7 linked regions of the Oryza sativa Japonica Group genome follow. The main gene of each other region encodes a partner of the protein of the gene in region 2 in a complex. Links are inferred from orthologs where the notes say so. Each region holds a gene or a part of one and is shown on either strand. Other genes may lie near its edges.

The links.
Region 1: the proteins of NADH dehydrogenase [ubiquinone] iron-sulfur protein 1, mitochondrial (region 2) and NADH dehydrogenase [ubiquinone] flavoprotein 2, mitochondrial are in contact, whole or in part, in a cryo-EM structure (PDB 8BED), measured with the Arabidopsis thaliana proteins. The link is inferred for Oryza sativa Japonica Group from reciprocal best matches to the Arabidopsis thaliana genes EMB1467 and AT4G02580. Residues at the interface, in NP_568550.1 of Arabidopsis thaliana: Val203, Lys205, Val225, Ser229, Gln235, Asp236, Leu237, Gly238, Ile239, Leu240, Gly241, Arg242, Gly245, Glu246, Glu247, Gly249, Thr250, Tyr251, Val252, Glu253; in NP_567244.1 of Arabidopsis thaliana: Asn33, Tyr34, His35, Leu36, Val90, Met93, Ala103, Ile105, Arg106, Tyr108, Glu109, Thr112, Phe113, Tyr114, Ser115, Arg119.
Region 3: the proteins of NADH dehydrogenase [ubiquinone] iron-sulfur protein 1, mitochondrial (region 2) and NADH dehydrogenase [ubiquinone] flavoprotein 1, mitochondrial are in contact, whole or in part, in a cryo-EM structure (PDB 7AQR), measured with the Arabidopsis thaliana proteins. The link is inferred for Oryza sativa Japonica Group from reciprocal best matches to the Arabidopsis thaliana genes EMB1467 and CI51. Residues at the interface, in NP_568550.1 of Arabidopsis thaliana: Gly115, Asn116, Cys117, Arg118, Leu121, Lys129, Pro130, Ala135, Met136, Pro137, Lys153, Ala154, Glu156, Gly157, Val158, Glu160, Phe161, Leu162, Met164, Asn165, Arg194, Phe195, Glu197, Met198, Arg200, Ile219, Gln220, Ile239, Gly241, Arg242; in NP_196470.1 of Arabidopsis thaliana: Gly225, Ala226, Gln243, Lys245, Leu248, Pro250, His399, Glu400, Ser401, Cys402, Gly403, Gln404, Cys405, Thr406, Pro407, Arg409, Glu410, Gly411, Trp414, Met417, Ile418, Arg421, Met434, Glu437, Val438, Lys440, Gln441, Ile442, Gly444, His445.
Region 4: the proteins of NADH dehydrogenase [ubiquinone] iron-sulfur protein 1, mitochondrial (region 2) and NADH dehydrogenase [ubiquinone] 1 alpha subcomplex subunit 2 are in contact, whole or in part, in a cryo-EM structure (PDB 8BED), measured with the Arabidopsis thaliana proteins. The link is inferred for Oryza sativa Japonica Group from reciprocal best matches to the Arabidopsis thaliana genes EMB1467 and AT5G47890. Residues at the interface, in NP_568550.1 of Arabidopsis thaliana: Lys397, Asn401, Arg402, Met403, Gly404, Asp406, Asp418, Ala419, Asp420, Leu421, Arg422, Tyr425, Leu563, Asp564, Gly566, Gln570, Arg679, Lys681, Ser682, Val683, Pro685, Asn686, His689, Glu692, Glu694, Pro695, Ala696, Ala697, Phe698, Ser701; in NP_199600.1 of Arabidopsis thaliana: Lys12, Glu13, Arg15, Leu17, Leu18, Gln20, Arg29, Val32, Glu33, Tyr36, Lys37, Lys40, Ser41, Lys45, Leu46, Pro47, Ile48, Leu49, Ile50, Arg51, Glu52, Cys53, Ser54, Val56, Trp61, Arg63, Met66, Gly67, Glu69.
Region 5: the proteins of NADH dehydrogenase [ubiquinone] iron-sulfur protein 1, mitochondrial (region 2) and NADH dehydrogenase [ubiquinone] iron-sulfur protein 6, mitochondrial are in contact, whole or in part, in a cryo-EM structure (PDB 8BED), measured with the Arabidopsis thaliana proteins. The link is inferred for Oryza sativa Japonica Group from reciprocal best matches to the Arabidopsis thaliana genes EMB1467 and AT3G03070. Residues at the interface, in NP_568550.1 of Arabidopsis thaliana: Pro167, Leu168, Asp169, Cys170, Pro171, Ile172, Met198, Lys199, Arg200, Ser201, Val202, Val203, Asp204, Val214; in NP_566191.1 of Arabidopsis thaliana: Ile69, Ala71, Pro83, Ile84, Glu85, Phe86, Ile87, Cys88, Asp90, Leu91, Lys98, Tyr99.
Region 6: the proteins of NADH dehydrogenase [ubiquinone] iron-sulfur protein 1, mitochondrial (region 2) and NADH dehydrogenase [ubiquinone] iron-sulfur protein 4, mitochondrial are in contact, whole or in part, in a cryo-EM structure (PDB 7AR8), measured with the Arabidopsis thaliana proteins. The link is inferred for Oryza sativa Japonica Group from reciprocal best matches to the Arabidopsis thaliana genes EMB1467 and FRO1. Residues at the interface, in NP_568550.1 of Arabidopsis thaliana: Gly61, Gly62, Ala63, Arg64, Val65, His66, Lys87, Gly88, Phe89, Thr90, Gln93, Glu96, Val97, Asp101, Arg104, Tyr107, His108, Ser109, Leu111, Ser112, Ile113, Ala135, Gln175, Glu178, Cys179, Asp180, Asp183, Asp266, Lys288, Ala289; in NP_201560.1 of Arabidopsis thaliana: Ile55, Tyr57, Ser58, Pro59, Ala60, Arg61, Thr62, Ala63, Thr64, Gln65, Ser66, Ser68, Leu71, Val79, Thr81, Leu82, Lys83, Glu85, Thr92, Asp103, Lys126, Lys128, Lys129, Asn131, Thr132, Pro133, Leu134, Leu135, Lys136, Val137.
Region 7: the proteins of NADH dehydrogenase [ubiquinone] iron-sulfur protein 1, mitochondrial (region 2) and NADH dehydrogenase [ubiquinone] 1 alpha subcomplex subunit 6 are in contact, whole or in part, in a cryo-EM structure (PDB 8BED), measured with the Arabidopsis thaliana proteins. The link is inferred for Oryza sativa Japonica Group from reciprocal best matches to the Arabidopsis thaliana genes EMB1467 and AT3G12260. Residues at the interface, in NP_568550.1 of Arabidopsis thaliana: Trp361, Arg362, Leu365, Ser621, Pro645, Thr646, Ala650, Arg651, Asp652, Trp654, Lys655, Ile656, Arg658, Ala659, Glu662, Val663, Asn671; in NP_566416.1 of Arabidopsis thaliana: Lys120, Thr121, Phe123, Leu124, Phe127, Tyr128, Thr129, Ser130, Asn131, Tyr132, Phe133.

What each region holds. Positions count from the first base shown.
Region 1 is NC_089039.1:25,329,404-25,333,594, reverse strand, and holds the start of NADH dehydrogenase [ubiquinone] flavoprotein 2, mitochondrial, read right to left. Parts: upstream 2,801-4,191; 5' UTR 2,750-2,800; coding exon 2,648-2,749; intron 2,540-2,647; coding exon 2,483-2,539; intron 2,369-2,482; coding exon 2,303-2,368; intron 1,907-2,302; coding exon 1,790-1,906; intron 1,267-1,789; coding exon 1,189-1,266; intron 1,113-1,188; coding exon 1,007-1,112; intron 874-1,006; coding exon 827-873; intron 638-826; coding exon 560-637; intron 126-559; coding exon 60-125; intron 1-59. UniProt on the Arabidopsis thaliana protein: Core subunit of the mitochondrial membrane respiratory chain NADH dehydrogenase (Complex I) that is believed to belong to the minimal assembly required for catalysis. Complex I functions in the transfer of electrons from NADH to the respiratory chain.
Region 2 is NC_089037.1:29,731,586-29,735,529, reverse strand, and holds the start of NADH dehydrogenase [ubiquinone] iron-sulfur protein 1, mitochondrial, read left to right. Parts: upstream 1-1,144; 5' UTR 1,145-1,249; coding exon 1,250-1,676; intron 1,677-1,932; coding exon 1,933-2,179; intron 2,180-2,482; coding exon 2,483-2,777; intron 2,778-3,428; coding exon 3,429-3,803; intron 3,804-3,944.
Region 3 is NC_089041.1:27,139,177-27,143,397, forward strand, and holds the start of NADH dehydrogenase [ubiquinone] flavoprotein 1, mitochondrial, read left to right. Parts: upstream 1-1,421; 5' UTR 1,422-1,533; coding exon 1,534-1,587; intron 1,588-3,196; coding exon 3,197-4,221. Other genes in the region: protein DMP2, read left to right, coding at 1-94. UniProt on the Arabidopsis thaliana protein: Core subunit of the mitochondrial membrane respiratory chain NADH dehydrogenase (Complex I) that is believed to belong to the minimal assembly required for catalysis. Complex I functions in the transfer of electrons from NADH to the respiratory chain.
Region 4 is NC_089038.1:14,301,477-14,305,602, forward strand, and holds the start of NADH dehydrogenase [ubiquinone] 1 alpha subcomplex subunit 2, read right to left. Parts: upstream 2,801-4,126; 5' UTR 2,754-2,800; coding exon 2,668-2,753; intron 2,579-2,667; coding exon 2,472-2,578; intron 1-2,471. UniProt on the Arabidopsis thaliana protein: Accessory subunit of the mitochondrial membrane respiratory chain NADH dehydrogenase (Complex I), that is believed not to be involved in catalysis. Complex I functions in the transfer of electrons from NADH to the respiratory chain.
Region 5 is NC_089042.1:3,659,159-3,663,107, reverse strand, and holds NADH dehydrogenase [ubiquinone] iron-sulfur protein 6, mitochondrial, read right to left. Parts: upstream 2,801-3,949; 5' UTR 2,733-2,800; coding exon 2,589-2,732; intron 922-2,588; coding exon 825-921; intron 701-824; coding exon 588-700; 3' UTR 402-587; downstream 1-401. UniProt on the Arabidopsis thaliana protein: Accessory subunit of the mitochondrial membrane respiratory chain NADH dehydrogenase (Complex I), that is believed not to be involved in catalysis. Complex I functions in the transfer of electrons from NADH to the respiratory chain.
Region 6 is NC_089041.1:24,023,868-24,027,935, forward strand, and holds the start of NADH dehydrogenase [ubiquinone] iron-sulfur protein 4, mitochondrial, read right to left. Parts: upstream 2,801-4,068; 5' UTR 2,724-2,800; coding exon 2,553-2,723; intron 1,278-2,552; coding exon 1,189-1,277; intron 736-1,188; coding exon 606-735; intron 1-605.
Region 7 is NC_089041.1:26,863,243-26,867,406, forward strand, and holds NADH dehydrogenase [ubiquinone] 1 alpha subcomplex subunit 6, read left to right. Parts: upstream 1-1,364; 5' UTR 1,365-1,551; coding exon 1,552-1,764; intron 1,765-3,233; coding exon 3,234-3,416; 3' UTR 3,417-3,795; downstream 3,796-4,164. Other genes in the region: probable protein arginine N-methyltransferase 3, read left to right, coding at 1-11, 235-672. UniProt on the Arabidopsis thaliana protein: Accessory subunit of the mitochondrial membrane respiratory chain NADH dehydrogenase (Complex I), that is believed to be not involved in catalysis. Complex I functions in the transfer of electrons from NADH to the respiratory chain.

The sequences.
Region 1 (4,191 bases), on a different chromosome or scaffold from region 2:
GAGTAAAACTTGTCGCTAGAAATATCAAAAGAATTATTTCGTTCAAGAGCAAAGCTTACAGGAGGGGTTTCTCCTCTTTTCAGCATCTCGACGATCTCAACAACTCGTTTAGGAGTGAGGTCCTCCTGAAAAGGGGAAATGGAAATGCTCAGTTACAGTACACAAATAAGTCTTTTCTTCCTCTCTCAGCAAAAGGCAGGCAGGTTTTGTTAAGTTTTATCCACTCGTCTTTTGTTACTCTGTTGGCATTAGTGCTTTCAGTGCCACAGTACTGCTATAGCATGGAAGTTTAGCAAAAAAATGTAGCTATGTTAGCATTATTTCTCCAAAGACGCCTGCTAAGAAGTATAGAAACCCAGGGGCCCAGCATCCTATAACATGCAAGTTTATATTCTTCAGTTGACAATGTTTCATTTTGTGCATAAACATGAACTAACACGAGTGGGCACCAGCTGCTAATTCTTACTAATGCTGTGATGTTTCTACTAAAATTTCCACCGCGTGTACTAGCATAAGTCATCAACAATAGATAATCGGATGCATCAATGTGTATACTTACATAATAGTTGTATGTGTAACCCTCTGAACCTTTAGAATAATCGGCCACAGCAATCATGGGAGCATTCACACAGCAGCCCTGTGAACATATAACAGAAAGCTGAATAAAAAGTTGCCTTGTACTTATGTTTTTTCATTAGAGTACTGAATCATTCACTGACAAAATCCTACAGACCATTCCTATTGGCTATAGTTAAACACTTAACTCAACTAGAACACCTATTTGCAAGCATCCAAAATGACAGAAAATTATAGATCTCGAAGTTACCATGCACTCCATTTCTCCAACAGAAAATAAACCATCACTGGTCACCTCTGCAAATGAAAGAAAAATGTTAATGCTATCACAGAGATAGCAAGAGAAACACATGCTCGAAGACCGTTTGTGGTAACAAATCAGGAAGTGTTATTCTTAGTTGATAGGATAAGTTATGTGAATAATACAAACCATTCCGTTTAACTCCAAGATGTTCTAACAAGGCTTCTTCAATTTCACGTGAACCACGAATCATGCAAGGTGTGGTTCCACACACCAAAAGGTGATATTTACCCACCTACATGGCAAAATAGGGTGAAAAGATGCTAGTGGAGGGATTAACAAGTACAAAATACTAAGTCATGCAAAGATACCTTAGTCCGGTTAAACATTGTGTAAAATGTAGCAACTTCATATACTCTGATTGGTGCAACTTCAACGATCTTAGCAATCTGAAAGTCCAAGACATGAAAATAGTATTGTCAGAAATGCTTTTTGTGAGCACAGTGGTGGTGGAATGGTGGTTGGGTCTATGTACAAAATATCTAAAATGTAACATAAGCTATAACACTCCCAGTAGCAATGTTATTGTAATAGTCCTAGTCCTGAGGAGATTAACTCAATTGTAATTATAATTATATAAATATGTCAACTGATATGCTGACAAGAACTTTTTCTTTTGTGATTGCCAACCCCCATTCTCCAATGCCTCTTACTATTAAGGCTCCTAATTTCCTAGTGTCACCCATCTTCAGTAGGACGAAGAAGTGAACAGAAACAAGGCCAGTGCAATAAGGTTTTGATTTATGAATGTCTGCTAAGCAAGTCCAATATAACTATAGCTAACGTGGGTTGTAACAACTAACAAATGTTGAGGTACATCACTTTCTGAAAATTGAAGTATTGAAAACAGGATATAGCACATTAAAGGCGGAAAACAGTTGATCATCGAAAGCTCATAAAAAAGGGACTTACAGCATTCATTGCTGCAACTGGCACCCATCCACCATGCTGCTGCTGGGCAAGATCAAGCATTGGAATAATACCAGACTGCTTGTAGTTGCTTGGATAGTGAGACAATATCTCATTAACCTGAATTAGTTATTGAAATAGAGATTTTAGGCCAGATAACCAAAATAGCTGATACAATTGATATAAACCGTATTCACAAAACCTAAATCCCATGTCAAAGGAATAGAACACTATACCCCACGTCTCTATTACATTTGGACATTTGCAGATTTGCACATTTCTAAAGGTTTTACATGACAGATAACGTTTCCCCTTCTCAAATAACCAGCAACCAGTTCCAACGTAAGATTATATTATTATCTAATAGTCCTGAATAAAATGGTACCCTAACAGCCATTTCTGAACATCCGAAAACAAAACTGAACAAATTCTGCCACAACTACTCCAAAACCAGCCACTGTTCCAATCCAAAACATAAATCACAGGGAAATGAATGAACGAGACGAACAACAGCACCTTCTTCATGTTGGCCTCCGTGAACTCCCACGGCATGTCGGGGTTGTTTTCCGGCGAATCGAGGTGCTGCACAACAAGCAAACCCACAAATCCGACTCATTATCATCCTCAGACAAAACAGACAGATCAGGGAAGAGGGTAGGGGGTGGATCCGAGGGAAGGGGGAGGCGCCTCACGTACGTAGTTAAGCGCCGTGGAGAACAGCCTGGAGGAGCAGCCCGCGGCGGCGTAGGAGATCTGCAACGAGACGTTGCCCCCGGAGGGAGAGATCAGGACGGCAAAGCTCCGCCGACGAACAGCGAGGAGATACAGAGGCATTTGGAGGAGGGGGAGGGGGGCACTGACCGGAGAACGGGACAAGCGTCGCGCCGCGGCCGATTCCGAGGCGGAGGAGGTCGCGAGCCCTAGGAGGCGGCGGGCCGCGAGGCGGGCGGCCGGCGGCAGCATGGTTGGCCGGCGGTGGGGGAGGCGACTCGACTCAGGCGAAGAGGGGGGAGGGGAGCGGAGTTGTGGCCGCTCGCGGAGGTAAGTAGCTCGGCGTGACGTCAGCAGCACCGGCCCAGTGGGCTCTCATGGGCTTATTGACCCAATCGGCCCAATAGTAATAATTCCTTCGTGTACTGGCAATTATAACGATCTTTTTTTTTTTGGTTGGGCAATTATAACGATCTACTGTCCGGATTTCGTAACAATAGGATTCTGATATATCATACTTCATACTGGATTGTTTATTTTAGTACGGAGGAAATATACCGGTAGATCACCAATCTTCAAGCAAAATGAATCGTCCTATATATTATAGGCCGAGTTTAGTTCCAAACTTTCAACTTTTCCATCACATCAAAACTTTCCTACACACAAACTTTCAACTTTTCCGTCACATTATTCCAATTTTGTGGAGATTATGGATACCCCATACCAACACGGCATTTATAATCCGACTGGGTATGGGGTGCCATGTATAGATAGAATATCTTTAAAGGGACTTGGGTTAAATTCCAAACTTGTATGTTAAGGAAATACCCGGGATCTTAGTCGGTTAAGATTGAATCTTATCTGTAACTACCTATTCCGTTAGGGATATGGACTGTATTTTATAATACGGACCCCTTCCCCTATATAAGGAGGGGTCCAGGTGCCTCTTAGGGCACGATCTGCTCCCAGATCATACGATCAATAATACACTCGGCAAATCAATCCCCGGACAGGAGTAGGGTATTACTTCTTGTTAAGAAGGCCTGAACCAGTATAAAATTCTTTGTTTCTCAACCCATCCACTTTTCCAGCTTGATAGCCACCCCCTTTTAGTATTGCCAAAATCTTGTTTCGACAATTGGCGCGCCAGATAGGGGTAGCGTCAAGTTCTTCGCCGATTAGTGCGATGGGTTTCGTCTCCGGCATCGACGACTTCGTCTTCCCTCCCGGGCAGGCGTTCCGGTTCGGCAGCCTCAACTTCTTCACCAACGACTTCGGCAAGATTTCTCTTCTTGACTCGGATTCGAACCAGTCGGGAAGAGACCAGGTTTCCGCCCCGTTCGTACCCCAAACTTGGCCGAGATCTACCCCAAGATCATCTCAACCGAGTTGGCCCCAAACCACTCGGACGAGATCCAATCTACTCCAACACGACCCGATGAAGACAATAGAGCCTATCCGCCAATCCTGATGAAACTCCTCAACGATTTGGCTGTCGTTTTCACCACAAGAGCGTCATCTCCCCGTAGGTCTAGGCGGGATCCGCCCTGGCCCCGATCCAGTCTAGCTCTAGGGAAGTCGGTGTCATACTCCAGCCTCTCGGCACGGTTTCGACGAAACAGTTGGACGGCTACCTCAGCTCCCCCGGTGTCGACTCACGACCAACGGAGATCGTAGAGTACGACGACTTCGGC
Region 2 (3,944 bases):
GCGTGTCACTTGTTGGATTATACTTTACTCGTTTTAAGAATGCAGCACGCCATGACGCAACTGTACTGCTTTGATCATTTTATTAAGGCCTAAATACTGTTTAGGCAGCTGTTTGTTATGTGCTGAGAAAGAGAAGGTGACATTGGCGGCCGGTGTCATATCATCAAGAAGAAGGGAAAAAAAGAGACTTCAATAGGGGTAGCAAACTAGCAATCGACACCGGGTAGAATATTTGGAAAACAAAAGGAGATAATCCTTTGACACATCATCAGCTGCCGCTTAAGCAATCGAGGACTTCAATTGACATAAACAGGCATTGGTCCTTGCTCGAGTGTACAAGTCTCACTCCGATTGTCCTCTTGTGGTGACGGCTAGTTGGTACAAGATGGCCTTCGCTGGGTTTAGTTCCGAAATATCTCTTTCAAACTTTCAACTTTTTCATCACATCAAAACTTTTTACACACATAAAATTCCAACTTTTTCATCACATTATTCCAATTTCAACCAAACCTTCAATTGTGGCGTGAAGTACACATAACCCTTGTTGATGGGCGGCATCTTCTCGTTCATTCTCATCCTCTTTAGCCCAAAGGTGTGAATGGAGTTAGATGTGTCAGCTGTCGATTTTTTTTCTTCTCAGCAATGAGGTTTTTGTTATAATTGTTTTTGCTATACCAAATACGAAATGTCGTACTATCTTTTGTGCAGGTTAGAAAAAGAATAGCGTGGGTTAAATATGTACATCCAAAATGGACAGAAGAGAACCAACCACATCAAACTGTGCTGGGTCTCCACTTTGGGGGAGTCCGGCTCCGGCCCATTTCCCCCGTTGACGCCCAAGCATATACTGCCATCCGGGCCCCACCCTACACATCCCGCACCCCACCCCTCTCCCTGCGTTCCGGCCCCACATGCAGTCTCACACCGCACCTTACCTTGACCAAAACCTCGGGGGACACGTAGCAGCGGCCACCACCACACCACACACACTCGAGAGACCCGCCTCACCTCGCTCCGCATCTCCCCTCAATCTTACTCCGTCACTGACACGTGGGCCCGACGAGCCATGGACCCACATGTCAGTGACACAGGAGCGGTGGCACCGAAGGTACGAGAGGATCTCTCTCACAAATCCATCTCCTCCAACCTCGCCGCACCAGCCAAGGGCAGGAGGCTCCCCCCCCCTCTCCCACCTCCCCGCGATCCCATCGCCGCCGCCGCAGCCGTCGCCGCCGCATCCGTCGCCGCCATGGCCTTCTTCGCGAGGGCGATCCGCTACTCCAGCCCGTACCTGCGCTCGCGCGCTCCTCCCCCGCCCGCGGTCGCCGCGTCGTGCCGCTGGATCTCGCCGACGGCGGCGGCGGGGTCGCCGGAGGCGGGCGCGGCGGTGGCGCCCGCGGACCCGGAGACGCCGCCCCCCAGGGAGCCCGTGGGAGGGGCGCGGGTGGAGCTCCCCAGCAACCCGGAGGACGCGCTCGAGGTGTTCGTGGACGGGCACGCCGTGCGGATCCCCAAGGGGTTCACCGTGCTCCAGGCCTGCGAGGTCGCCGGCGTCGACATCCCGCGGTTCTGCTACCACAGCCGTCTCTCCATCGCCGGCAACTGCCGCATGTGCCTCGTCGAGGTCGAGAAGTCGCCCAAGCCCGTCGCCTCCTGCGCCATGCCCGCGCTTCCAGGTGAGCAGTTCGATGCGGACGCGGCGTCGCGCTTCGCGGCCATTACTCTCTGTTGAATTGGGTTTTGAAACGGACAATGTTGGTGTGGTTTGCAAAATGTTAATGCCTTAGTCTCTCGGATCCATCTTTGTGTAGATTTGCCTGTAGTCTATATTGGCTAGTGATAGTTGGACTAATTGAATGATTAGTAGAGTGTGTGCGTTTATCTAGTAGGATTTGCAGGAGTTCTTAACGTTGGAGCGCCTTGTTGTAATAGGGATGAAGATTAAGACAAACACGCCAGTAGCAAAGAAAGCCAGGGAGGGTGTCATGGAGTTCCTGTTGATGAATCATCCGCTGGACTGCCCAATCTGTGATCAGGGTGGGGAGTGTGATCTCCAGGATCAGTCTATGGCATTTGGGGCTGACCGTGGTCGGTTCACTGAGATGAAGCGGTCCGTTGTGGACAAGAATTTGGGCCCATTGGTGAAGACAGTGATGACCCGTTGCATCCAATGTACAAGGTAATGTTTTTTTTTTTGCTTTTCAGTAGATTTGAATGAGTATCCACTTAAAGAGGTTTACTGCTGTTCAGTTTTGTCTATTGTCTGCTCCCTCTGCTTCCTGTGAGTACTATGTTCTTGGACAACAGATTTAGGAGCTGTCTGTACAAACTTGATAAGTTCAAACTTTGAGACCAAACATGTTCCTGATATATTTTCATGCTGTGGTAGCTTATCATCTTATATCAAAACAAAATATTGTCTGGCTGCTTCTTCAAGCTACCCTTGGCCGGTTTGTAACTTTGTATTTCTTGAAAAATGCAGGTGCGTCAGATTTGCTAGTGAGGTTGCTGGTGTTCAAGACCTGGGTATGTTAGGTCGTGGCAGTGGTGAAGAAATTGGAACATATGTGGAGAAACTTATGACAAGTGAACTCTCTGGAAATGTTATTGATATCTGCCCAGTTGGAGCCCTTACATCCAAGCCATTTGCATTTAAAGCTAGGAACTGGGAGCTGAAGGGCACTGAAACTATTGATGTTACTGATGCAGTAGGTTCAAACATTAGAGTTGACAGCAGAGGTCCTGAAGTTATGCGTATCGTTCCACGTCTCAATGAGGTTCGCTTATTGTCCACTTCTGTTGTAAATTTGACTTATTCTATGATTTTTGCTGGTAATGATCTACATTAGGATCATCGGATCATTTGGTTGTGGTCATGTGTTCTAGGGAGTAGGAATAGTACCTATTGTATGCCTATGATTACATTTGCCTTTATTGCATGCATGAGGCAGTGTCATGTTTCCTTTTTGCCGTAAGCCACCTCACTCGGTAAATTTCTCTTTGCTATGTTAGTAGAGTATTTCTGTTTTTCTTTGATTAGTCAAGCCACAGACAAATGAATGGATCATTTTTCGTAATGCACCTTACTGTTTCTTGTCTCAGTCCGGATCCTAGAGCTAAAAGATATGGACATCTTGTAATGTTTCTCATATTGATCAATTCATTCCCAATTTCAGCTGTGTACATAGTAACACTGATGATAAATAAACGTGTTGTACACACTTCTAACTCAGTAAACGTGTTGTACACACTTCTACTCAGTAAACATGTTTAAGGAATTACAGTGTGGTCGTTTGGACATTAGTTGTCCTCATTCTAGCTTGTGGATGTTCAACAGCGTGTTGATGAAACTTTTTCCCTTCGTCTGTTATGTCACATCTGTCTGAAATAAACACTGAGTAAGCTTCCTGTTTTCGTGATACTTGCAGGATATCAATGAGGAATGGATATCTGACAAAACACGGTTTTGTTATGATGGTCTGAAGAGGCAAAGACTAAACGACCCCATGATCCGTGGTACTGATGGCAGGTTTAAGGCAGTGACATGGCGGGATGCTCTCGCAGTTGTTGCTGAGGTTTTGCAACAAGTTAAACCAGAAGAAATCACTGGGGTTGCTGGTAAACTTTCTGATGCAGAGTCCATGATGGCACTGAAAGATTTTGTTAACAAAATGGGTTCGGATAAGGTGCTTTGTGAAGGAAATGGTCCAAGTCCTCCTGCGGATCTACGTTCTAACTACCTAATGAATACTAGCATTGCTGGGCTTGAGAAAGCTGATGTCTTCCTTTTGGTTGGTACACAGGTAAAATCTTGACTATACCTTACCTGTGGCTATTATTTACTGCCAATTTTTCTTGAATTCTTCACTTCTCCAAGAAATGCTGTGTAATTGCATTGCCTCATTTTTAGCATTGTGGCGGCTTATCTCTAGCACTATGCAGTT
Region 3 (4,221 bases), on a different chromosome or scaffold from region 2:
CGCCAGCGTCGTCTTCGTCGTGTTCCCGTCCACCCGCCACGGGATCGGCTACCCGCCGGCGAAGCCCGCCACGGCGTCGCTGGCGTCGCTGTAGGCGGCGAGCCCGATTAGTCGATTTGCATTGCCATGCAGGCATGTGCTTCCTTTTTATGGGTTGTGTTTTTTTAAATATTTGCACGTGTGCATATGTGTTCTGTCTGATGCTTTTGTTCGCATTTGTTCATCTGTCTGTTTGTGACCTAATAAGGCCAAGAGCTAGTTTGATCTCGTTGATTTGCCTCATCTTTGTGCAGTTTATGACTTGTTATATTCCATCGCAATGGATGAATCCGTGGGGAACTATATGATAAACTTGGCAAACATTTATGAGTTTTTCATCTGAATTGAATGTCCGCACGATTATATTAGCGAAAATGTTCAGTAAGAACTCTATGAATGCTGTAGTTAGCATTCGTGCTTAGAGCATGAAAAATGGTAGTTCGATCTTGTTGATTTGCCTCATATTGCGCAGTTCATGACTTATAGGGATGGTTTGGTTTGGGGGTCTAAATTAGCCTTACCAATATTTGACAATTTTAATAGCGTTTAGTGTCTATTTGGTTTGGAGTCAAATTTTGGCATGCCTAAGAAAATAAGTCATTTAAATAGTTAATTTAGGCTATTTTGACTTCAATCCAAACACAACTTTGCCTTACCAAAATTATGCATGCCAAAATTTGCTAAAATTTAGCATTGACAAAAATTGGTAAGGCTAATTTAGGCCACAAAACAAACCAGCCTATATTGATGTGGAAATCTTTAATTGAAATGGATGAATCTGTGGGAAAGCAGATGATAAATTTGGCAAACATATATAAATTCATCTGAATATTGCAAGGTAGTTAGCATGCATGCTTACTAGAGCATGACAAAATGGTAGCACCAAGAATAAAATTATTTGCAACGAGGTCCGTCCTCGCCGCCGGCGGCCGGTGAGCTCGAACACGCGGTGGCCCCGGAGCTCCGGCAGTTTTGTCTGCTCCGACGAGACGATCTGGCCGGTGGAGACGTTCGGGACGCCGTGGCGCCTGTGGCCGACCAACGCCGGGGTTGGAAACCGGACGTAGCCGGTGAGGCGGTGACGTCACCCGTTGAGGCCCAACTAATAATATGGGCCGGAAGTTCGCCACAGCACCGTCCCGGCCCAACTAGCATTACGGGCCTCATATGGGCCAATACCAAACTACGGCAGGCCGCACCGTCACGGCCCAACTAATAATACGGGCTGGAAGTTCCCCACAACGGCCCAACTAGTATTATGGGCCAAGCTCCGCTCCGGCCCAATAGCTAGCACTCCAGGTCGGAGGGAGCAGCGCGTCCGTGTGTTGGCCTCACGCTCGCTGCCTCTCCTCTTGGCCCGGAGCTCACCCACGCACGCAGCCGTCTCGTCTCCCTTCTTCTCTCTCCTCTCCTCTCTTCTCCGGCACACCACACCCCAATCCTCCCCCGATCTCCCCAATCCGAGAGCTCCGGAGGAGCAGCGCGGAGGCGGAGATGGCGCTGCGGCGAGCGCTGCTCAGATCTGCCGAGATCTCCCCCGATCGCAAGGTCCGAATCCCCGCCCTTCTCCACTCTCCTCCTTCCCCCCCATCTCTCTCCGGTCTGGATCCCCCAACCACGAGGGGCGCGAACGCTGTTACCGCCTTTGCGAGAATCTGAGAGGAGTGCGCGTAGCGGGTTTGAGCTGTGGGAGGGTGGAGGAGGGTTTGCACCAGTCGATGTGTGTTGGTGGTGCGCGCATGGCGACGAATCTCTTCTTCTTCCGGGAGTAGAGGATAGGTCGAGGGGAGAGGAGTAACCGATGTAGAGCATGGAATGCCGATGGACAGTTAGGAGGGGCTCCATGTCCGTCTCTTTTGCATTTCGTATTAGTTCTGTAGGGATTTCTGGCTGTAAAGTGTTTACGACTTGATGCTTAGGATCGAGTTTCAGTTTGTTGCGGATGTGGTTTCTTGTTATGTCGTGGATACTCGGAGCATGCCGTAAATTGCTTGGATAGGCCATTCAAAATCTCATTTGTGAAAACCGAAAATGACCATGCAGTTGCAGACTAGTTACTACCTCTTTGTATTCGGTATTGCTGATGAAAACATGTGCTACACTCCTTTGCTTGATTGAAATAGAGAACAATAATTCAAAAGCTCGTTTTTGAACTGAAGATGACCATTCAGTTACAGGCTTGTTGCTACCTCTTTGTATTCAATATTGCTGATGAAAACATGTGCTGCACTCCTTTACTTGATTGAAACGCGAAACGATCTTTACTCTTTCTACTATATTAGTGTTTCCCTGATGCCCCGAGCGGAATACCAGTATTGTGGTTATCTTATTTCAATAGATTAAACAAACATGGTGCATTTATGAATATGCTACATTCTGTAGGGATATAAATGTGTTTGATATTGGTATTTCGTGGCTTCTCCTTTGGGTACAACTAAGAACACAACAAATGATACTTCACCTCAAAGTGATACTATCTTTTATGCCTTTCGTAGGCTTACTTAGTTTTTACTTTGCATATAAAACCACTACTACAAATAGGAAAATCGTATTGCAGATACTGAAAACCTGTCCTTTATCAGGACAGGTATGCTCTATGCTGCAATGAGATTATCAAAAACACCAACTTGCTGCCAACTGAGCATTTGATCTTTTCTCTTGTTACTTAGATACTTCTAAAATAATGCTCCAACATTGTAGGCACCTGCTGGGCTTATATATAATTCATGTTTCACTTATGGGCTGATATATTTGAACTTGATGTATTTATTTTGGTTTCTAAATCTGCAAAATTGTTCCCATTCTATTCGTTGATTTACCATTTACCTGCAGCAGCAAGTTTGAGTTGAAAGTAGAGATCCTTGTCACCATGTTCTAATTACTCTATTCTAGTTCACTTAACTAGTTAAAAACTGAAGGCAAGAGCATCAGAATTCTGTATTTCTGATCATTTCTTGATGTTCATGTTGTTCTTAATTTTGCTTCTTTCAACACTTGCTTGGATACTTAGTCAGCTTTCAAATGAAGATTACTTTAGTCTTTTGCTTTTGACAAGTATTGGCGTATTGTAGTAAAGTAACTACAAACTTTTTTTTGTCCTGAATCACATCTCATGGATCAAGCTGTGATAACAAATTGGTTTTTTTTTTCTTGTCAGGCTGCACTTGAGTACCTCCATTATCTATCGAGAGCACAGCCTACTCGTTCTCTAACAGGTGCTGGCCTTTATTCTGCTGGCAAATCATTCAGCACTCAGGCTGCTACTACATCAAGCACACCACAACCTCCACCACCACCTCCACCTCCGGAGAAGACTCACTTTGGTGACCTCAAAGATGAGGACCGCATTTTTACCAACCTCTATGGTCAGCATGACCCTTTCCTGAAAGGTGCAATGAAGAGGGGTGACTGGCATAGAACCAAGGATTTGGTGCTTAAAGGGGCAGACTGGATAGTGAATGAAATGAAGAAATCGGGACTTCGAGGGCGTGGAGGTGCAGGATTCCCTTCTGGGCTTAAATGGTCCTTCATGCCAAAGGTATCTGATGGACGCCCTTCTTATCTTGTTGTTAATGCTGATGAGAGTGAGCCAGGAACTTGCAAGGACAGAGAAATCATGCGTCATGACCCCCACAAGCTTCTGGAAGGCTGTTTGATTGCTGGAGTTGGGATGAGGGCATCGGCTGCTTACATCTACATTAGAGGTGAATATGTGAATGAGCGTCTCAACCTTTTGAAAGCTCGGGAGGAAGCATACGCAGCAGGTCTTCTTGGTAAGAATGCTTGTGGATCTGGTTATGACTTTGATGTGCATATACATTTTGGTGCTGGTGCCTACATTTGTGGTGAAGAGACTGCCCTACTGGAAAGTCTCGAAGGCAAGCAAGGTAAACCAAGGTTGAAGCCTCCTTTCCCTGCCAATGCTGGCCTATATGGCTGCCCCACAACTGTCACAAATGTTGAAACAGTGGCTGTGTCTCCAACAATTCTCAGGCGTGGTCCAGAATGGTTTGCAAGCTTTGGACGCAAGAATAACTCGGGAACTAAACTATTCTGTGTCTCAGGTCATGTGAACAAACCTTGCACTGTCGAGGAGGAAATGAGCATACCTCTTAAGGAATTGATTGAAAAGCACTGTGGAGGTGTGAGAGGAGGATGGGACAACCTGCTTGCAATTATTCC
Region 4 (4,126 bases), on a different chromosome or scaffold from region 2:
GATTATATCTGGTTTTTACAAATTGATCAATAACACTCCATATTATAGTTGTCATCACCAAATTAAATATTGTTTTATATTTCTATCAGAATAGAGTCCATATGTATATATTTGAGTATATACTTGGGATGTTTCTATGTTTAAAAACATTGCGGCCTTACTAACCAGGTTCCGCTTCAGCAAACTATTAATTACATTCTAGTCACTTGTGTGTTTAGTCAGCAAGTGTGGTGTTTGGTTCTCCAACGGCTTGGCTACTCTAACTTTCCAAGCCAGGGCACTACTAGGTTCGCCAGTTGGTGGTCAAGGACAATAAGGGGATTGCCTGCTAGTGAGAAGAAGGGGCTCAACTCCTTTATTATCTTGGTCGCTTGGGAGATTTGGAAGCATAGAAACAACTGTGTTTTTAATGGCACTACCCCAAGCATGGCTGATGTCCTTCAAGCCATTGCAAGTGAGGGCGCCCTTTGGTGCCTACCAGGAGCTTCTAAGCTTCGTGATCTTTTGTCTAGGGCTGTCGTACTAGTGCACTAGGTTCGTTTTGCTTCTTGTGGGTGTGTTTTGTTGGTGTTGTACTTCCGGGTGGGTGGGTGTCGGAGTTTATCTCTAACGCCATCCACCTTTTTTCCTCTATCTCAATGAAATGATACGCAGATCTCCTGCGTGTTCTAAAAAAAAGTGTGGCTTTGACAAGCCATGATACTTCCTTGTACAATGGACAGTTACGACCAATCAGATTTCCCTAGGATGATTGCACCATTGAGTATACGTAACAGGAAGGGTGATGGTGTTGATAGTACTGTCGAGTAAACTGATGATCAAGTTCATAAGAAATGGTTACAGTAAATGTTATTGACAGTGTTCCAAAAGTTGGCTCTAGGTACCCAGTTGCCAACCTGATTAGGCATTAGATGGTTCATTAGGCAGCTAAGTACCCCTGGGGGCTCTTGTGCTGCTATTTTAGTACTCCACTGTTCAAGTTTTATGTAATATGCTCACCAATTGCTTGGAATTTACTTGTGACGTTCGGGCTAGGCATCCCTAGGCGGTAAGCGCCAGCCCACTAGTGCCTAGCACCTTATTGAACCATGGTTATTGATTAATCGAGTTAGGATAGGAGATCTTTGGTCAAGTTTTAACATAAGCTTATTGGCAATATTGTCCAGTTCCCTTGGAAATAAGAACGACCAGCTCTTAGGATTAGGAGAACAAGAAAATGCCTTTGGCCGTGGTTGGGTAAGATGGATGATAAGTTTATAATCCTAACCATCTTAGCGATCCCAATGCGTAAAAGGAAATTTATCCTCACAGAAAATATTTATTTTCTCCTTGTTTGCTAGGTTAGACTAGCTTTGGGCTATAAACTATAAGGCAACCTCCCTATCTTACCTCTCCTCACCTCCACCACCTGTAGGTGCCTACAACTGAGTGTTTCCTAGTTCCCTAGGTATTGTCACATTATGTTCAACCAATTCAACCTGCTCACATAGACAACTCCATATGGGTACTCTTCCATCTATCCCAATCTTTTATTTATATTCATCCAAACAAATGCCGGTGTTTAAGAGGGAACCTTAATATACCCAGAGTATCATCGTAATAATATTGGAAGAATCCATATGGACCATAAGTAAGATCCCAAGTCCCAACAAAGAGTTTGTGTGTGTGTGTGTGATTTTCAAAATAAAGCGAGCTTTGGGCTTTTAAGCCGTCAATCCTGTGAGCTGGTCTTAACCCAAAGTTGGCCAAACATCCCCTAAGCTTCTCTAGATTTTCTTCACAGTCATGTAGACTATTCAGTTTTTTTTTGTGTTTATGCCTTGAGTTAGAAGTTGTCACTATGTCTGTAATTTGTAGTAAGTTATACCAAATCCAGATCCAGTGCATGTAGTAGTTCATTTGAACATCTGCACGCACAATACCATTTGGCTGTCTGTGGCAGATCAAGCAGAATAGAAGTAACACTCACAATTGTCATGGAATGTTTTTCTTGTCTAAAAATACCAAGAACATATGAGAGAAACCATGTATCTTAGGTTTTTAATTAGTAGAACCCACAGGAAAGTGTGGACTTGAACAGATGATCTTACTATCACAACAATAACTCTACAGCTAGTCCACATTGTCGTCCCCTGTTTTTCTCCTTCTCCAAATCTTGGCCATTTTTTAACAACATTGTGTTAGCATTATATCATTGGACAAACCTAATGCTTCTCTATAAATATTTTTCCTTAAAGAAAGCATTCAGATCGCAATCAACCTAATGTGCCATTCCTTCTCAAGCATTCACACATTCTAGTATTTTACATAAGCAATGTAACCTATGATGCCCAACTCTAAAAGACAACACGATCCGGTATCCTAACCTAACATTTCACGCCGCAAAAGATATAAGAACAAAAAGTTCAAGAACCGGCTCAGAGGATCTCGGATTCCATGGAGAAGAGAGGAAAAAAAAAAAGAACGCGTACCGTAGCGCGCCCACAGCTGGGGCTCGACGCCGGAGCACTCGCGGATGAGGACGGGGAGGGACGGGTTGCGCGCCTTGATGTCGCCGTAGTTCTTCTTCACGAACTCCCTGCGAAAGGAAGGAATCGCCGCGGTTCTTCTTCAGATCGGGTCTAGGACCCTAGAGAGAGAAAGGGGAGACGGGGGAGCGGACGGTACCTCGCGGGGGCGCTGGCGGGGGAGGATTGGCAGAAGAGGAAGCGGATCTCCTTCACGCCCCGGGAGAGGTTCGCACGCCACGCCATGGCCGCCGCCGCCGCCGCTTCTTCTTCTTCTTCTTCCCTTCGCCTCTGCTTTGCTGTTGGCCTGTGGGGGGGGATTCGCGGGGGTGCGATGCGACCGACGGCGAGAGACGCGGCGGACAAGGGTTGGGGGAGGGTCTCGTTGGATTGGATCCACGCCGTCCGATCGCCAAGCGACGGTTGGGACTTGTGAGCTTGGTGTGGGACGATTGTGGGGTCATTAGGGTTTGGTCTGTAAGCAAACAGAGTATTTTCCTTTCACCATCTTAATTTATCGCCCGATTGTCCCATACAATTCATGGTGGTGTAAAGATATTTATCTGAAAAATGCTTCCGGACGGACGAACGTCGTCCTTATCCACACACACAGCTACATCTCCACCACACATTCCTTCTTTTCTCTCTCTTTAATTTCTTCTCTCTTGCTATTTCACCAGTGTTGGCCACACAACGGCAGCGACGGAGGGCAAGACGATATGAGAATCCATGGGAGCCAGCGCTCCGGCAGTTTCTGCTCTGCTCCCCCTTGACGGCAGTGCGCCAGGTGTGGCATACGCGGGCCATGCGGCGCCAATCGACGAGGCATGGGAGGCGTTCGTGGACGAGGCAGAGGACGACAGCGGTGAGGTCGCACCATGGCGCCGTCCATCGGAGAGGCGGAGGCACGGCTTACCGAAGTTGAAGAAGAAGATGGAGATGTCAGGGGATGGCAGCCGGAGCTGAAGAAGAAGATGTAGGTGTCGGGGGGTGGCGGCCGGAGTTGAAGAAGAAGAGGGCCGGCAACCGGAGTTGAAGAAGAAGTCGACGGAGGTGGGTTTCCTCGGGGGCCGACGACCGGAGTTGAAGAAGATGGAGGTAGCTAGGTTTGTTTTGTTGGAGTTTTAGGGATGTTGCATTCTACTGTTAAGCTTGTTGCACTCTGTTGTATTAAGGTGTTTCATTTTGTTTTGATTTGATGTTGCATTGCAATCTTTTGTATATGTTTGTTACACTCTATTTTATTCGTGTGTTTCATCCTCGTTTTATTGGATGTTGCACATGATGTACAATGTGTTCTATTCAATATTGCAGAGTAGAGTATTGATGTTGCAAGTAATGTTTTTTCATTGTTTTATCTAATTGAAACATTTTTTACCAAGTGGTGAAACATTTCTCATCGAGTAATGAAACATCCGAAACATTTTCTAGTGAAACATTATTCAACGAGTGATGAAACATCTGAAATATTTTTTTTATATGTGGTGAAACACCGTCTGATTTTTTTTGCAAAATATCAAATGTCTGATGTGTAGCGTTCTCCTAATTATATTTTATGGGTTAAGTGATATTTTATTAAGGGTTAATTGGATCTACGCCATTACAACTTTTACGATTTT
Region 5 (3,949 bases), on a different chromosome or scaffold from region 2:
TAGCAACAATTTTCCTTTTTCCCTTTTTTTTTTTTGGCGAGGAGTCTTAGCAATATTTTCACTTTTCAGTTCGATGCTTTTTTTTCCTTTTTTTTTTTTTACAACGTCCATCTTTATATGCAACACAGAAGTGTCGGTCTGGAGTGTTTGAACTAACCTGCATCCGTCACAAGTCTGAAAAACAGAGGAAAACACAGATAACCGTAATGAATCTGGCAAAGAAATTATCTGGATCAGGTAATGACAGAATAAGTAAAATATTTGGGCCAGGTAAAACTGGAAATCCTATAACTAAACTAGTTTCGCAATTGATTCAATTTTGATCTCAGGTTGTCAGATTCGCAGAGCGGGTAATTAGATACAGAAATTGCATAGACTCAGAAAATGCAACAGATGCCAACTAAAGAAAAAGAAATCCACTGTTATTAAAGCGGGCATTATTATGTCATTCAAAGTACGATGATCGTCAAAGATATCATCATCTTGCCATCAGGCAGAATACATGACACGCTGACTGGAACATTTTAAACCAAATACACACATTCAATTCCAAATTTCAGTGTGGTGAAGGACTGCATCTTGTCTTCTCAGTGATGGTGATCTTGAACAAAACGGAGACCACAGTACTTGCATACAGCAGGCTGGTCCAGGTCAAGGCAGATATATTCGATCGGATGGCCGAGGGAACCAGTTTCACGACCTGTAGCAAAATATGAACAGGTCAGCCTGCAGAAGATTGCCTCATAGGTATAGTTTGGAAGCAACAATACAGCCAAAGCGCAAATACAAGAATATATATATACGACTAGTTTTGCAAGGCTCACCTTTATCCTGACGCCCATCACAAGCAGCAATTCGTCCTTCAACCTTGATCGGAGGTACTGCGTTGATCAATTCCATTGGGGACTTCTTGCTTGTGTCCTGCAATGAATAAAGTAAATGAATGAACATAATTTAGAAAATGAGCTCATGATTCAACAAGTGCTAAGGTGCAAATATTGCATAACCAACTCATAAACTTTATCATGGTCTGAACCTGGTATATATACAAATCCTAAAAATTTTGAGGATATGGGGATCACTTGCGTCGCAGATGATTTATAGATTCTTACTCAGTGCAACAACGAACATAAGTCTTTAACACTGTTTTAAAAGGCAATGATTCACCTATTCACTGTTTGTGTATGGTTTGACTAGGCACCACCATCCTGCCTAGTGCAATCAGAACAATAATCTTTACTCAATTAAACTGGTGGCTCATCACCTATTATTGGTTTGCTGGCTCCTGGTTTACTGAAAGCCTAACTCAAATGGATATTCATCATTTAGGCCTTTTCTGGATGGGCTGGGATGGACCAAGACACCAGCCTATCCACGCAGAAGTTCAAGTAAATTCCAACCATCTAAAGCCTACTCAGCAAATGGGTGAAAATATATACACTAAAAGCATGACAAAACAATGTAGGCAGTGAGCCTGTGAGTGACATTATAATTAATTGAAGGGGATATGTAATTTTCCGACTGAACATAAGTTACTTTGATACAAAATCATATGATGCACATCTTGTGAGAACTACCCAATAAGGTCATGCCACTATCTACCAAGGCAAGCACATTTCATCAAGATAACGGTTCTCTTAAATACGAGAGAATAAGCATGCATATTACAGATGAGGCTAGCGCAACTAATTTAAGGACAGTCGAGTGACTTGAGTCTGCAAACCTATAGCAAACAGTACCTTCCTTCAGGGGAGGATAACATCCAATAAGATGCATGAAAAATTGACAACTGCACTAATAAAACATCGGTTCCACTCCTGAGTCACGAGCTGTGTTGATATGTATTAACCACCTAAACCCTATGTTGGCATGCTTAAGGTAACATGGAGTATTTGAGTAGGCTGTCACTAATCAGTAGTATGTGTTTTCCTGCAATTAGATATCGTTAAATAACTTAACAGGACTCCTCTCATAATCTAGGGATGGTGCCACTGTAGGAATCAAGGCAGTAGAGCATGCAGGGTATGCATCTTACAGAGATATGAAAATGAACCCATAGACCCTTATCTGTCTGCAATGTTATTATGACAAAGAATCCCAGTGCCTAAAAACCAAACCATCCTTCCTAAACAGCCTAAACTCCATGCAATCCATTTACAACATGCTTTACATACACTCGTACAAGCAATACACCTTTCAAACCTGAACATGGTCTTCAGATCTAAACAAGAAAACATAAGAAAAGCTATTGGGGGGGGGGGGGGGGGGCAAAAACACTTACAACTTGCAGAAACAAATACATGACTATGTCCATCAATTAAAGCGCCCAGGCTGACCTAAATAGGGAAAATGGAATTGATCATCGCGAGCTACACGCCTACACAGCGATTGCACGCAAAATCGAGAGCCATAAACGCACACGTCCACATGAACCTAAAGAAGACTAGATCCCCCCCCCCACCCCCCCCCCCCACCGAATCGGGGAGCGCTACACGCGGGGGCGGCCGGGCAGGTTATCAGGCTCGCGAGAGGACCAGGGATCCGACACACCCGGAGAAAGGCTGTAGGGCGGCGAGGTGGGGGGTTACCTGCATCCACTTGGCGGTGTGGCTGCCGACGACGGCGGCGGCGCCGACCGCCCTCTCCGTGGAGACGCCTCGCGCGGCGCCGTTGGCCGCGGGTAGGGACTTGCGGAGCGCCGGGAGGAGCAGACGTCTCGCGGCGGTCGCCATGGCCGATGGGGGAGGAGGAGCTGTCTGCACGAGGGTCGAGGGATTTCGGGAGAAGGGAGGAAAGAGACGAAGTTTTTTTTTTCTTTTTGTGATGGATTTAGGTTATCTCTCGAAATAGGCCCGGCCCAATAAGGCCCATTTACACAATTGGTTGGGCTGGTCATACTTCGGCACTGCATTGTGCATGTGGCCCCGTTCGATGTGATTATAATCTTGTAAAACGAGAAAAATCATTAACATATGATTAATTGAGTTTTAATTATTTTAAATTTAAAAATAGATTTTTTTATATATTTTATAGCAACTTCTATACAGAAAGTCTTAAGCACGGAATGCACCGTTTAACCATTTGAAAAATGTGTTGACGAAAATTGATATAAAATCTGTATTTTAATTAGAAAAGAACGAGACAGGTGTAATGCACTTGATAAAGAAAGCACGGCCCAGATTGATGATTACAGAATAATGCCATATTTTTTCTTTTTATTGTTCTTATAACATTCAGAAAGAAAACGTTGGCACGTGCACAAACTCAGCAGTAAGCACGCTCACATCACTATACATTTTCGGATTTGTTGAGGCATCAAGGGGTTTACAAAGCATGGGCGTGCACTATCTCGATGAATGCTCACATTCGAGTTTTCATGTTGGTAGACACTAGTGTCAGGTTTAAAACTTGTTCATGTTTGTATTATTTTGACCATTAAGTTGATTATTATTATTATCATCATCTGGAGGAGTATTATCTTTAGACAGCAACCACTTATATTGTGCATTCTACGCAAATAGGATTAAAATATTCCAACGATTTTTTCAGTCTGATACAAACCATGGTACTAGTAGCCCTATGGTTGTAGGATAGCTTTTGAGGTAACAAAAATATTTGATTTTTCAGGTATTTAGCATGGCTTTCTCTAGCCTTTGAAGGCTTGCGATTTTATCTGCCGGAATTTCCATGTTAAGGGTTATGTAGGATTTATACGGGAATTAAACTAATAAATGTGAAAATCCTAAAAAATTTCTACATTCGAAAGAGTCCTAAGCTTTTTTTTTAAAAAAAATAATATAAAACGAGTTCATACCGGTTGAACATGCAAGACCTCGGATTTCCTCCTTAAAATCTTAAATCAGTTATTTATAACAACAAGTTTGGCAGTTTGCTTCGAGATAAGATCTGCTTTTAATAAAAAGGTGTAAATATGTGATGGATAGTCCTT
Region 6 (4,068 bases), on a different chromosome or scaffold from region 2:
CAAATATAAAGGCTCGTGGTATGCCAATGAATACTGCACCATAGCCCCCCAAAAGCATTCCTACTGTCGAGAACATATTTTATACGCAAATAATATACGAGTTACAAATTGTTTGAAAAAGCTCTAGTTTGCCACAGAAATAAAATCAAAGTTCCATGTGTCCTAACTAAAATTACAAGTACAACAAAAATCGGGAACAACAGATTTACTCCTTGAGTTATACGAAGGATTTTTAGAGATTTTATTTTTCAAAATTGAAACATCGACAAGTGATTCTGAAGACAAAGATTTAAGGCAAATAACATTAAATCATATGGCACATTGGATGCAAGGCAATCTGAAAATAAAAGACCATGCACCCATAAATGGACCAAATTTCCTTCAGAAACCTGACCATCAGAATTCAGAACACTATAAAAGAACATTCCTTACTTTAACCTCTAAATTGTAAAGAATTAAGAATCAAATGATCCTATACATTCAAGAGAGAATATGCAATTAAATCCTGCTCCAATATATCCTAATATTTCAGAAATAAGTATAGCCTTATTTTTTAAACCTGATGTTAAGTATCAGGAATGGATAGACAGATAGTAAGAACTCACCACATAATCCCATCCATGCTTTTCAGCAAATGCCTTTGCTGAATCTGCACTGTCAAACGTAAGCCCTGCTTCACCAACATTAGCATATGGATCTCCAGTAGATGTCCATCCCATTAATGGGTTCTCCCACCTATTATTCACACAAATGTTAGAAGGGGAAAAAGCGGCAGCAACTGAAATAGTAATATCTAATTGTATGCTAGAATGCTATATAATAAGGAGGTGATACATAAAGCTAAATGAAGTAAATGCATGAGACATAAAAGAAATGAAATAGACTAAGTACACACTGTTTGACCAAACCAAGGTGACCACCTCAATGAGAGGTCAAATGCATCAGTTGCAAGGCTTTCATTGTACAAAAAAAAGGGGGGGTAATCTCACGTTAAAGGAAAAAAAGAAACAGACTTCAATCGTCAATGAATTCTTCTGTTATGAATGTAAATCAAGTTTTAATATGAGACTATTTGTTTTCATTTGATATATTATTGAGGCAGTTCACCAAACAGCAACACAGGGTTTGAGGTAAATAATTCATGAAAATGAATCAACAATAACCAATAAAACAAAACTGGAAACATACTTTTGGGTTGACACAAAGTTGATTTTCCACCTCCCGACTTTGCCTGAACCCTGCTGAGATGCAGTCCTAGCGGGTGAATATATTACAACCTGCAAATACACAAGGATAAGTTGATCATGTCTTCCCAGCTAGGTAGTTGAAAAGCATACAGTGAGTCTTAAAAGAACAAAAGTGGCAGCAACAAAAATCATATTTTCTTTACAGTATAAATATTTAAACCTATCTGAATAACACAATCCTGTCGTAGGCCATTTAGAAGGCCGTTTACTGTATAAACACTAAAAGGTGGGGGAGACCACTTGTTAACAGTCTAATGATCTACAAGAACATAGATCACAATCAAAATATTTTCTAGGGCTCACTCTGTATAATAAATCTGCAAAAACATAAGATCTATTGATGTGTAGGCATCCTCTCTCTGCAGACAAACATAAGGTTGATAATACCATGAAAAATGTGACTGAAGTGGTGCTATCAGCATTGGGCCATATCATAAGATGCTTCTAAGCTCTTTGAAGTTAAGACGGATCTTTGAAACAACAGAAGAATTGATCATCAAACAATATTCGTATTAACGAGATTATGTTGTAGAGAAAACTATTTCATGGAAGCTCTGTTCCTCAGAAGTCAGAACAAGAAACTACCACTCTACAAGTAGGCCTCTACATGGATTTTGAGGTAATTACAAGAACTATGAAATGGTATGAAACAGACATTAGTTCATAGTCCAACAAGTTATCTAAATTCAATAGCTAAGCATTGCTAGCAATTTCATCTTTCTTTGTATGCAGTTAGTTCTATCAAATGTATTTTTAAGTTTGATGTACACCAAGAAAATGGATAAATAATAAGCATCCTAGCATCATCTAAACTCTGGTATGTACAGTTCTCTAACACCAATACTGTCAACTCTAATCACAAACAATTTGAAAGGTAAGAACATACACCTATATACATTCAGTCATTCACAGTACATAAACCAAATCAGGATAATTTGATCAAACTCTGTTGCCTCCAGCCCTCCACTAACATAATCTAAAGTGGGAGAACCCAACCTGGAGAGCAGCACATTCCTCCCAAGTTCTAAACGCAGTTCAAACCACACAAGCGTAAAACATCATCACCAAATTCGCATTTCTATCCACTCCACGATTCGAACGTCTACTAGCGATAGCACTGTAGTCCGTACGACGAGTTCACGACCCGACGCCTCCAGGCTCTATGCCTCTATCCCTAAACACGAGTAACGACCAAAACAACCCACCAAACCTGGACATCTCGAGCGATTCCCACACGGATCCGCGAGGGCTAGCCAATCTATCGCCACTACATAAATCAGAGGTAAGGTCAGCGAAGCACCGCACCTTGCGGCGGAGGTGCTCCTCGGGGATGCCGGAGACCATGCCGATCTCGCCTGGCTTGATCTCGACGAGGGCGTCGGACGCCGCCGCGGAGAGCATCCGCGCGGGCGCGGGGGACGGCGAGAGGAGCGTGCGCCCCAGGGAGGGGAGGCTCCGCCGGAGCGGGGCGGCCATCTCGTCGGAGCCGTACGCCGGTGAGGCGGATGGTGGAGGAGAGAAGGGGCGGACGAGAAGGCCGAAGGGGAAACACCGAGAGAGAGAGAGAGAGAGCACTTCAGAACTTGGGAGAAGAGACGGCTGGACCGAGGATATGTTGGAAGCAGCTCATGTTGGGCCAATCTTCTCGGCCCAGTGTTGTGGGATCCGATTGGTTTATGGGCCGGGCCTTGCGGCCCAGACTGGTGCGAATTCGATTTGTTTCTGTGTGCTGGGCCCAGTTATGGTCCAGTGGGTGATCTGCAGCCTTGGAGTTGAAGGCCCATACCGAGGTTAGACTAGCTCGTTGGGTTTTGGTCCAGATGAACCACTGACTTATCTGGGCCGGCAATGTTATATTGGGCTGCCTCTGGAATAATTCTTGATGGCCCTTTTGATAATTTATAGAATTCATTTTTCAGTTCCGTTATTTCAACTACACCGTGATGAAGTTCATCAAGAGCATAATCACCCATAATAAGTGTATTCAGATAATTTAATACACCATTTGGTCGTGAATATTTGATGGTTAGGCCGGACAATATTTGGATGGCAAATTTTACTACAAAACATCTAAATTTCGTGTAATTTGCTGATAGACATCGAAAAAACATTCACAAATGAAAGACATCTAAAAATACTAGTAATTTGTTAGAGAACAATATCGACTCAATTAAAAAGATAAATTCTTGAGAAAGACAAGAATGCCCCTAGAATCACATGCTTCAAACATAACGTTAAAGTACGAATTTAGAAATTATGCAACTCCAAATTTAGCATCACCCCAAGTACATCACTAGTATACGTGATATTTTATCTTCACCCTAGTCTCAGTTCAAAATCTTTTGACCGTGGGGGCATCCTTGTCTTTTTTAAGAACTTTTCTTTTCAATTGAGCCGAAAGTGTCATTTAGCAAATTATCAGTTTTTTAAGAGTGTCTTTCAGCCGTGACACGTTTTTATGATTTCTATCAACAAACACAAATTTTGAGTGTCCTATAGTTAACTTTACCTATTTGGATCTTACTTTTGAAACTTTAACTATCAATAGTCTTTGAAATGCTTAGTTTAAAAACAAAAGACTTGGTAGTATCAATGTTTTATGCCCATAATATAGACTAATTAAATTTTATAAACTTAATACTAATTGGCCGAAACTTGTTTTAAACGTTAACTATCTAGAAAACGAGGGAGTAAGTCTTTTGTATTTCGCCTAAGAATGAAAAGTGATTAACATTGTGTAGGAGGACAAATACGTATGACTATGATCACATGAAGTTCTGAAAAAAAAAAGATCACATGAAAATGCAAGATTACATCTCTA
Region 7 (4,164 bases), on a different chromosome or scaffold from region 2:
CTGTTCTCAATGTAAGTCCCATGACCTACATGCTTCAACTGGGTTATGCACTTATGTTTCAGTATTGTCTTTTTGTTGAGGTTTGAAATACAGATCAAGAGATAATTGTGATTTGGTTGACCGTCTGGAGGTGTAGATAACATTCATAATGAATACTACTTCCTTTGTGCTCGAATGTCCTTCCAATGCACGGAATTGTACTTGACATCTTGTGTTTATTCTGTTTCTATGCAGTCCTTTGATCTGGCAACTATGAAGGAAAATGAAATGGATTTTACTTCAAGCTTTGAGCTGAGGCTCAGTGAAAGTGGTGTATCACAATCTGGAGTAACCTGGTGCTATGGCATTATATTATGGTTTGACACTGGCTTTACGAACCGATTCTGCAAGGAGAAGCCAGTCAACCTCTCCACCTCTCCTTTCTCCACACCGACTCACTGGTCTCAAACTATCTTCACCTTTGAAGAGCCCATCGCAATGGCAAAGGAGGAATCAGCCGTTGTCTCATCTGCGTCAGTTGGCACAGATGAGTGCCCAGCTGTGATGATCAGATCCCGCATCAGCATTGTGAGGGCCTCTGAGCACCGCAGCATAGACATATCGATTGAAACTACAGGAATCAGCTCAGATGGCAGGAAGCGTAGCTGGCCTGTTCAGATCTTCAACCTGTGAGCAAGGAGCCAAGGATACCTTTGGGTATAAATTTTGTTTCGTGCTTTGCTCCTCACTGGTTTTGAGCAAGGATACTACCCACAGCAAGTCTTAGCTTTTGATTGGGTCCTCAAATCTCAATTTCTGTACGCTGAAACAGAACGGCATCCCCACTGAAGTTTTGTGCAATGGTGAGCCTGAAAACAGGCCAGATTGAAGCGCTGTGGAATGGTCAGGGTGAAAAAGTTCATGGGATCGAGACTGAGTTGCAGTTTTTTTTTTGGCTATTTCTGCACGTGAACTGAAAGATATATCTTGTAGTGATGTTTGAGATATGTATCAGTATTTTACAATGATATCAGAATTCAGATTCATTTGGATACCAGTTCACTTCAGTTTCTGTAAGATGCTCGGTTGATGTGAACCTGAAGATCGCACTATCTTCTAATCGTCGGTGTGTCGGTAGAACAAATGTTACTCCTATTTTTGCTGCCTTGCCATAATCAACTGCAAAAAACTTGAACAAATTTCAGACTCTGTTTTCTTCTTGCAGAAACTCAAAGCAAATTTCAGACTAACCCGGTTTCGAAAAAACAAAACAAAAAAAAAATTCAGGCTATTAGCTAATCAGGCCTTGGGCCTTAGCATCTTCGGCCTCACAGGACAGCACGCGGCCATATCTACCTACCAAATCCCGAATCTCGAGGCAATCCGACGGCTGGTGATTGGCAACAAGGCCGCGAGAGGATTCCGATACCCTTCTCTCTCTCTCCGAGCTCGAATCCACCACCACCACCACCACCAATCGGAGCCACCGGAGAGCGGCGGCGCAGCAGACGGCGGCGGCTGCGGGGGGCGAGAGGCCGATTCGCCGGAGGAGAGAAGGAGAGAGAGAGAGAGATGGCGTTCACGATGCGCGCGGTGAAGGTGCCGCCGAACTCGGCGTCGCTGGAGGAGGCGCGGCACCGCGTGTTCGACTTCTTCAGGCAGGCGTGCCGCGCCATCCCCTCCATCATGGAGATCTACAACCTCGACGACGTCGTCACCCCGTCCCAGCTCCGCTCCACCATCGCCAAGGAGATCCGCAAGAACCAGGGCGTCACTAACCCCAAGGTCCCAACCTCGCACCCACCCCCATCGATTTCATCCGTCTTCCCGATTTCGTCGATCTGCGCCTCGTGAATGAGAATTCTCTAGTGGCTTAACCAACTGCTCGCCTGCTCTCTCCGATCTGGTCTCTTCTGGTCCTTGGGAGTTGATGATTTATCGGTGTTAGGTGCTGGATCGGTAGGTTTTGATTAACCTAGGATTTGATAGCCTCTTGTTTGCAGCAGGGGATTTAGACTAACCTTCTGCCTCAAGGACAGTAGTATTCCGGCAGGTTTGATGCTATGTGGGCAGTAAATTGTTTTCACCGATGGTTGGTCAATTTCTATATCTAGACATCTGGATATCATTTAGTGATCTACTTTCTGTGACATAGCACATGATTATCTGAACTTCATTGCTGCTTCCATGTTATATTTATACTACCAGTATCAACAATGCGATTCACATTTGTCGATGGTGGTAGTAGTAGCTAGGGATATCATCTGTACAATGCGGGCTCTCACAGTTAAGACAGTCTAATGAGGTTTTTGGTCTTTGCACAATCTTCTGATAGGTATCTTCTGGCATTTTAGTTTAGACTAGAGAGAGCGGTTTTGTCGGCTGGCCTCCTTTGCTTGTAAAAATTGAGAAAATTTGTCAGTTTAATTGAGCAAGAGTGCTTATGAATACGATTCAATGCACATAATATTAGATCCATACCACCTCTCCATGTACATGTTTCTAGATCCCCTGAAGAAACATTTTCTTTTGTTATGATTTGCATCTTTGTAGGCTAACTATGTTTGCTGGCTTCAATTTGAATTACACTCATTTGATTAGGCCCTTAGGAAGACTTCACCTGAAGCATGCACTTAAACTAAAAAATGTTAATGTCAGTAAAAGGGATCTATATTTTTATCTTGGATAATCCAAAGCTGCATCAGCTTGAGTTGCAAGGATCAGAGATTGCACGCGTTGATTTGATCCAATATTTGAAGAAACCTCAACTTTGTAACAAAACGCAGCAAATTCATGTTTTGTTTTTGGATACCTTTTGTCGTTTGTTAGATTAGAGTTGTTACGATCACATGAATACTATTGGGAATGCTTCTGTTCCATACCTCAGGTTTGGTCCAGTCCTTGCTCGTATTGCCCAGTTCTCCATTGTATCTGAGTGCAGTAAATTCAGATGAATGCTTCTTTTGATCAAACGCCAATTTGAATTCATTGATCATCACAATCTAAAATGATAAATTTCTCCCTCATACCCCCTGTTTTGGTGATTGTGTTGCATTTGGGATCCCTGTATTATGTTGCCCCTCTTTATGTTAAGTACATTTTCTACCAGTGCAGAATTATCTTGTTGTTTGTAGCTTCTCATGACGCATCACGAATGACCTGAAAATTTGGTCGTTCACATTTTCTTTTTGTCTCACTTACCTTAATCCTTACTGTATCAATGCCTCATCTAAGCTATTTTTGTTTGCAAACAGGTCATTGATATGCTCCTGTTTAAGGGGATGGAGGAGCTGGGCAACATCACCGAACACGCGAAGCAGCGCCATCACGTCATCGGGCAATATGTGGTCGGCCAAAAGGGACTGGTGCAGGATATGGAGAAAGACCAAGGGTCCTCAGACTTCCTGAAGAAATTCTACACTAGCAATTACTCCTAATCTGTGCTGCAAACTCCTCCTCCTTCAGTAATACCCGAGAAGTGATCTGAATAAGACGCTGAGAACCCACAGCTTTAATTGTTTTATCACTGGAATCTTTTTGTTATTCTGCTTGATCCTTCAATCATCTGCGCAGTGTGGCGCTGTTGCTAGTGAATTGTTTGTAACTTGTAGACTGTACTCTGCAAAGTTGATGTTCATGAGTTCATACCGTGTGTCAATGGGTTCGAACTCATGTACCCAGCACATGACCATCACTCGTTTGTCGTGAAGTCATTGATTCGATTAATCTGTAGCATAAAAGGTCATGGCCATGGAAACAAATAATAAGTGTTGCCGTTCTCTAATATACTCTTGAGTAGTTGTGACTTGTGAGGTATATTAAGAATTCAGATGGCATCAGATGATCAGTATTCAGGTGTCCCTGTCTGCTTAGCAATTCAAGTTAAAATGGCAAGGATAAGGGGATTAGAGAGTAGTTGTGAACAAGAAGTTAATATTGCAAAGGATAAGGGCATGAGAGAGTAGTTGCGAGCAAGGTTAAAATCTCGACTCTGTCATGCGAATTTATGATCCTAATTAAGATGCTTGATTCCACAATTTTACGTAGGTAGAATTTACGATTTCACGGTTTTAATGTATACGATTATATTATATGGTCTGTTTGGCACAGCTCAGCTCTATCCCTGGAGCTTAGCCAAACAATTCCAGCTCCATTAAAACTGGGAGTGGAGATATGTGAAGTTTT